Linked DNA regions of Caenorhabditis elegans. The protein of the gene in region 2 interacts with the protein of the main gene of each other region in a pairwise test. Each region holds a gene or a part of one and is shown on either strand. Other genes may lie near its edges. The genes, in order: rab-11.1 and lec-6.

The links.
Region 1: the proteins of lec-6 (region 2) and rab-11.1 interact in a protein complementation assay, tested with the Caenorhabditis elegans proteins (one study listed by BioGRID).

The regions. Positions count from the first base shown.
Region 1 is NC_003279.8:108,161-111,945, forward strand, and holds rab-11.1 (Ras-related protein rab-11.1), read right to left. Parts: upstream 1,898-3,785; 5' UTR 1,885-1,897; coding exon 1,845-1,884; intron 1,797-1,844; coding exon 1,675-1,796; intron 1,624-1,674; coding exon 1,332-1,623; intron 1,287-1,331; coding exon 1,105-1,286; 3' UTR 514-1,104; downstream 1-513. Other genes in the region: Y48G1C.8 (DUF7747 domain-containing protein), read right to left, coding at 1-1; rpl-7 (Large ribosomal subunit protein uL30), read left to right, coding at 2,895-2,905, 3,001-3,100, 3,350-3,547, 3,595-3,785. UniProt on the Caenorhabditis elegans protein: The small GTPases Rab are key regulators of intracellular membrane trafficking, from the formation of transport vesicles to their fusion with membranes.
Region 2 is NC_003281.10:599,003-602,632, reverse strand, and holds lec-6 (Galectin), read left to right. Parts: upstream 1-2,266; 5' UTR 2,267-2,274; coding exon 2,275-2,598; intron 2,599-2,915; coding exon 2,916-3,032; 3' UTR 3,033-3,123; downstream 3,124-3,630.

The DNA.
Region 1 (3,785 bases), on a different chromosome or scaffold from region 2:
TTTTTCTGCAATTTAATAATTGAAAATAAGAATAATTAACGGGGTGGAAAATTAAAAATTAAACAAGCATTAAAATAAATTTGAAAAAGTCCTGATTTGTAGTCCGCAACGCACGCACGCAAGCATACACCAGAACAACTAAGAGAGACGGGAGGAGAGATGGAGAATTTGAAAGAGACGGCGAGGCGACGAGAGAGCCGGAGGATTGAGGAAGGACAAACACACAGATGTGGGGTCTTGCAGCGCTTTCTCTGCGTCTCTTTTTTCGACATTTTTCAATGGGAAATTTTTTTTTGGAGTTTTTCTTTTTTTTTATCGGAAAACTTCAAAAAATTCAAATGGAAACGCTGTACGGACAATGCATAGAATAACACGCAAAAATGCACATTTTTAGGCCTTAGGTTACTGTAGTGGTCTCGGCGCGAAAATGCGGATTTTCATTTTGAATTCAAAATAAAAAAACTGGACGTGATTTGGTACAAGCGTTTAGTGAAAATGTTTCACAAAATAGGAGATCAATTAGATATATTTATTTATTCATGGAAAATGACTATTTGGAAAAAAATTGCGAAATAAATAAAACTCGATTAAAAACAATGTGCATATGTCTTCGTTGCTTTCTTGGCGAGGGTTTCTCGGTATCGAGTTCTACAAGAGACACACATTACGAATAACCAAAATAGTTTAGGTAATATACACATTGGGTGGGGGTGGGCCAGAATAATATTGAATAAGGGTGAAGAAAAAATATTCAAAATACGTCGCTGAAGTTGGCATACAATCTTGAGTCGGATAAATGGTAAGAAAGCAGCACCACTCAACTCAGATCACAATCTTCTGAAGAAAAAGGGACGAATGTATAGGTTCGGAGGGGGGGGAGGGGGAAGGGGTGGGGATGGAGGCAATTACAAATAAATCTGAAAGAAAGTTACAAATACTACACACCAAAACGGTGAAGACTTGCAAACGCAGTGCTTGCAAGAATTCGATAAAACTCGCGGATGTTAAGAGCGAATCATTTGGATTTCGGGGGCAGTAAATTAAATGGACAAGGCATTTCGAAAAATACACACGTTAGACTGAAAAAAAAAAACACGATGTGATTTATGGGATGCAACACTGCTTCTTTGGTGGGTCGGACGCTGGCGAAGGAATGATTGTACCACTGCCACCGCCATATCCTTGTCTGTCAGTTCCTACATGCTTGTTGGATACTGATTTGTAGATTTCCGTCAGGATATTAGTGAAAGCTGCTTCAACGTTGGTGCTGTCGAGGGCAGATGTTTCTGAAAAAAAAAAATATATAAACGCAATAGATTAGTTTAACTTACCAATAAACGACAATTGATTTCTTTCGGCGTAGATCTTGGCCTCGTCTGTTGGAACTGCACGCAAATGGCGCAAGTCGCTCTTGTTTCCGACCAACATAATCACAATGTTCTGATCGGCGTGATCACGAAGCTCCTTCAACCATCGCTCAACATTCTCGTACGTCACATGCTTAGCGATGTCGTAGACTAGGAGAGCTCCGACAGCCCCACGATAGTAAGCGGATGTGATGGCACGGTAACGTTCCTGTCCAGCAGTATCCCAAATTTGAGCCTTCACTGTCTTGCCTTCTACCTACAAAAATAATAATTTGAATCATAAGTGTATTCTAATGAAGTTCCTCACCGAGATGCTTCTCGTGGCAAACTCGACTCCGATTGTTGATTTTGATTCCAAGTTGAACTCATTTCTTGTGAAACGAGACAGGAGATTCGACTTTCCGACGCCTGAGTCTCCAATCAGAACAACTGAAACAATTTTTCGTTTGGGAATTGAAAAATGAAAAACAAAATTACCCTTGAACAAGTAGTCGTATTCATCGTCACGAGAGCCCATCTTTACTGCTGAGCTGTAAAATGATAAAGCTTGTTTGAAAGTTGTGTATATATTGGGACGATTGTAAAAAAGAAAAAGGGCATTGGTCACATGATTCATCAGCCGGGCGCAATGTTTTGTTGTAAAATCGATATTAAAAGAACGAGACACTGTTTTATCGGCGGAGAATATTTTTATGTTCTGTTCCCGACACAAACGCGGAGTCAGGAACCGGTTGTCTATCTCGACGGGGATTGAAAAAATATAAGTGAACTTGATTTAAGAATGATTCAAAGTATATGGAGTTGGGAGTTTTATATTGAATTTTATCAATATATGAGGGTGGTTAGTCAGAAGAAAAATGTGAAAATGTATATAGAAGTGTGTTATGAAAGAGTATTTGAGGCTTATCATACCCGAAAAAGGGAAGGTGAGCGGCCGAACTTTGTTTGTCGACACGATTTCGAAATAGTTGAACAGGATATTTTTAACAAGGGAAAGCTTTCTCTGGGTGTTCTTTTTTGATAATTTCAGCTAAAAATTGAAAAAAATAATTAGTTTTATGGCTGTGAACATCCAGAATAAGCTTTTCCGAACGCGAAATGCGTGTGAAACCCATAAAATCGAACGTAAAACAGGTCAGGCGCACCGGCGCAGCCACGTCGGTCTGAGGGTACGCGACGCTAGCCGCAGCGCAAGCCTCCTCGGGTCTCGGCACGACAACTACCGTACCCCTTTCGCAGCGGCGCAACGGAATCTCAATTTTACATTTTTTTCTTTTTGGCCTAACGAATTTTTCCGTTTTTTCAGAGCATTTTTCATTGATTTTCTTAAATTTTCATCAGAATAAATTTTAGAACTAATTTCCCGTAATTCTGATACGCGTTTTTTATAGTTTTCGTGAAGAAAATGCTGAACATTCGAAAAATACTGAAATAATTTAGTTTTGAAAACTTGCTCCTCTGTTTCAATATCTTATAATTTTCTTTTCTGATTAATATTTTGATTTTCCAGGTAATCAATCGCCTATAATGGCTCCAACGTAAGTTTTCTTTATAAATTTATATTAGATTGAAATTTACTTTTAGGCCTGACTTTCAAATACTTCAATTTTGATATTAATTCTTGGTTTTTCAGAAAGAAAGTGCCACAGGTTCCAGAAACTGTGCTCAAGCGCAGAAAGCAGAGAGCCGATGCCCGCACCAAGGCTGCTCAACACAAGGTGACCGTCGCCGCTGTAAGTTTATTTAACTGTCAGAAAACAGAAAATGCTCTTCAAAAGCACTGGTTTTAGGATCCACTATTATCCAAGCCAGCCGTCAAAACTGAGCTATAAGAATTATCTTGTTTTTGGGTGAGGTGTATTCAATTCAGAATGCGTCTCAATAACACGATGACAATTCGAAATTTTAAAGTTTAAATTTTCTTTTAGGTGTTTGAAAATTAATTTGAACTAATCCTGCATTAAAAATAAAATTTTTTACAGAAGAACAAGGAGAAGAAGACCCAATACTTCAAGCGTGCTGAGAAATACGTCCAGGAGTACAGAAACGCCCAAAAGGAAGGACTCAGACTCAAGCGCGAGGCTGAGGCCAAGGGAGACTTCTACGTTCCAGCTGAGCACAAGGTCGCCTTCGTCGTCAGAATTCGCGGTATCAACCAGCTTCATCCAAAGCCAAGAAAGGTGAAATTGTGTTAATGAGTTTTTTAATAACCATTCTTTGTTTTCAGGCTCTCCAGATCCTCCGTCTTCGTCAGATCAACAACGGAGTGTTCGTCAAGCTGAACAAGGCTACTCTTCCACTTCTCCGTATCATCGAGCCATACGTAGCTTGGGGTTATCCAAACAACAAGACCATCCACGATCTCCTCTACAAGCGCGGATACGCCAAGGTTGACGGAAACCGTGTCCCAATCACCGA
Region 2 (3,630 bases):
AGAAAATTTTCAGCCATAGTATTAGTTTTATAAATGAATTTACATTTTTACCCAGTAGAACCCAGGGGTGTGCGGCAAATCTCAAAATTTGCCTTGCTTAACAAACTCGGAAAAATCTAAATTTTATGTTATATTACTAGTTTTTTTGGAACAAAATCAATAGTTTTGGTCAAAATTGTATTGTCCAATTTTTGTTGTGTGCGGCAAATTCTAACGATTACCAAGATCGGCAAATGGCAAATTTGGTAAATTTGACGCACACCCCTAGTAGAAACGTTGTTCAAAATTCTTGGAAAAAATTATTACCACTTCAATAAGTTTGATAGTAGTCTAGAATCAAATTGGAATACGATGGTAATTAACAATGCTTTTAAAAAAAATTGAATTTGCAAAGGTCTAAATAATTTCCCATGCTCCATACGAAGAAAATGATTACTCAAATTTAACCGATATTCATGAATTGTAGAAAAATAACTTTCTGGTAATCGTCAAATTGTTTGACATTTTCCTTATCAATAATTAATCATCAAAATTATTGAGGAGAAAAAATCAGCTTCATGACTAAATTACATCACTACTAGCCGGAAATGCCATCATTGAACTTTTACGGACACGTGGCTCCTGGGTATACTTGAAAATCTTAAAGGTGGAGTACCGAAATCAGAGACTTTGTTTTTAGACCCAAAATAGCCCAAAACTACCGAATTTCGTAATGAGACGTTTTCAAAACTTCGCAAAAAAAAATTATGGCGGTTCAAAGTTCTGGAAAAACAGACCCATTTTCAGCTAAAATAAAATTTTCATTCTTTGATAAATATTGTGGTTTTTTATTAGGAGTTTATTGTTTGATTAAAGTGCATTTTCGGTCATTGGGGCACAAAAACATAGCTTTTATTTGTGCCCCACTGGCCGAAAATGTACTTAAACCAACGAATAAATGCGCATTAAACGATCACATTATTTATTAGAAAGTGGTAATTAAATACAAATTAACTTCCAGACGCAGCGACACCGAGAAGTTGGAAACAATTTGATTTTAGCTGAAAGTGGACCTTTTTCCAGATTTTTGAACTGCCATAACGTGTTGAGAAATTTTCAAGATGTCTCATTACGATATGCGGTAGTTTTGAGCCTAAAAAGCAAAGTCTCAGATTTCGGTACTCCACCTTTAAGCTTTAAGTTACTGTAAACTCAAGTTTCAGAAGTTTTTAAAAGTTCAATTTTTATAGTATTGGAAAGTTTACCACATACAATTGCAATATGGCTTAACGGAGGAAGATTTTAAGAAAATGCCACATTGAAATTCTCTGAAGATTCATTGAAAGGAAAAGTACTATTTATAAGTCAGCATTAAAAAAACTGCCACGTTATATATTGTTTAGCGCTAATAAAAACCCAAGCTATTAAAGAAAATTGCGGTATCTTCTGTCTTCAATGTCAGCGGGTTTTATTACATTATTGATCGGTTTTTCTTGGTGAGCTGGTATGTACCAAGTTCTCCCTGTAACTTGGCACTTCGATAATAAGGGTTGTAAATGGTGACGTGTGGAACGAGGAACAATTAAATAACTAAAATACGAATTTAGGTTGAAAAACTCCTAAAATAAAACAATTCAGAGATTTTGCAAATTTGTTAAAACTCTAGAATTTTATCACTACTTCCTCTCTTGACGTTTATCAGCACACATCTTAATTTCCAAACTAACTCGTGACATTCTTTATGCCGGGCTGAATTTTTCATCGAAAAGCCTTTTTCAGTTCAGTAAACAAGCAACTTATCATCGAAATAGTTCGAGGCGGAGCATATGCCAACTCATCAATAAGTTGATAAGAAACACTGCTTATAAGAGACGATGGCAGGTGTACAATGTACTCAAGCCTTTTTTTCCATGATTCATGTAGTAAGGAATTCTCTAGAATCGTATTTGATGACTCATAGGCAAGAATCCGCCCATTCTGTGATGTATAAATAGATGAGGATTGTTTACATTTATTGCCCAATTTCTATTTTTTTTTCGTTGAACATTTTCCCCCAGTAGACACCGAGAATTGTTTACTTTGCCGAGGGTTTTTCATACGCTCTTATCAACTTTCAAACTACTCGGCTTTTCGATCTTTAGACATTTTACATCACCTAGTGATAAAACATGCGATTTAGAGCCAAAGAATCAGCTTACAATTCTCATAGATGTACATTTTATACGAATAGTGGTCTTAGTATTGCTCCTAACATGTTTCCCTTCCCAACTCACACAGTTGATTTCAGAATCAACCATGATCGGAGGAGGAATCGGAATCAGCTTCCGCAACGAATTCTTCAACCCACAAACCCCAGTGAACATCCCAGTGCAAGGATTCTCCAACGGTGCTCGCCTCCGTCTCGTTCTTCTCCCAACATCCGCCGATTCTCGTTTCCACATCAATCTTCGCACTCCAGACGACATTGTTCTTCACTTCAACGCTAGATTCGATGAGGGAGCTGTTGTGAACAACTCGACCAGCGGAGGAGGTTGGCAATCCGAGGATCGTCACGCCAATCCATTCCAGCAGAACAAGATCTACACTCTGGAGTTTGTGTCCAACGGTGGAATTATCTCGGTTAGTTGGATTCTGGGCTTAAGAATGTTAAGGCGGACTGTGTTCGTGCAAAGCACGTGGTGCCAGACTGTCTCGTTGCGGTTTGATCTACAAAAAATGAGGGAATTTTTCGTGACATCAGCACACTCTTAATCATGCGAAATCAGTTGAGAAGTCAGCGCCTCTTCGGCCGCATTTTTTGAAGATCACACCAAAATGGGACACTTCGACACCACGTGGAAAAGTTTGATTTTTCGTACTCCCATCTCTGATGAGCATTGGATTTCGAGCCCTGTTCACCTACTGAAACTTAATCTTTAAACTATTATATTTTTCAGATCTTCGTCAACGGAGCCCACTTCGCTGACTTTGTCGAGCGTACTCCATCCCACGGAGTCCATCTCATTGAGATCGAGGGAGGAGTTCATGTTCATTCCGCCCATGTTTCTCACTAATTTATTTAATTTTTGGTTTAAAATACTCTTTCTTTATGATACATTTTGAATTTTTGTGCAAATTTCATATCAATAAACCTTGGTTTTGAATATTTCTATTTTCTAAATTCCGAAAAATGGATTCGCAGACACTGAGTCGAAGCGCCATATTTTACGCGCAATTTCGGCAGTAATGGTAGAGGTCACCGCTATAAAGTTGATAATTCATAGTTTATTATTATGAAGCATCAGTTTTAGCGTGCTTAGCGTCCCCTAATACTTTTTAATCATTACTTAGTTCCAAAGGGCATTTTCTCTTAAAACTTCTTATCTCGAAAAAATAGTGAAGGAATTCGATTTATTCTTCGGAAAAGATTTTTTTTTGAAAATTCTTAATCAGATTTTCACTTATTTTCTTTTAATAAAGCTTTATTTTCTATTTTATATCCACTCGTTCATTTAAAGCAAGTTTCAAAAACTGAAATCGAGGAAAATACTATTTTAGGGTACTGTAGTTCCTGTTCGGTGCAAACACTGTGGCTGCGGACCGGGCACCTTATTTGACGCACAAAATTTATTTGAATTATTTTTTTTCATTTTCTCTTCGTTTTTGTCTATT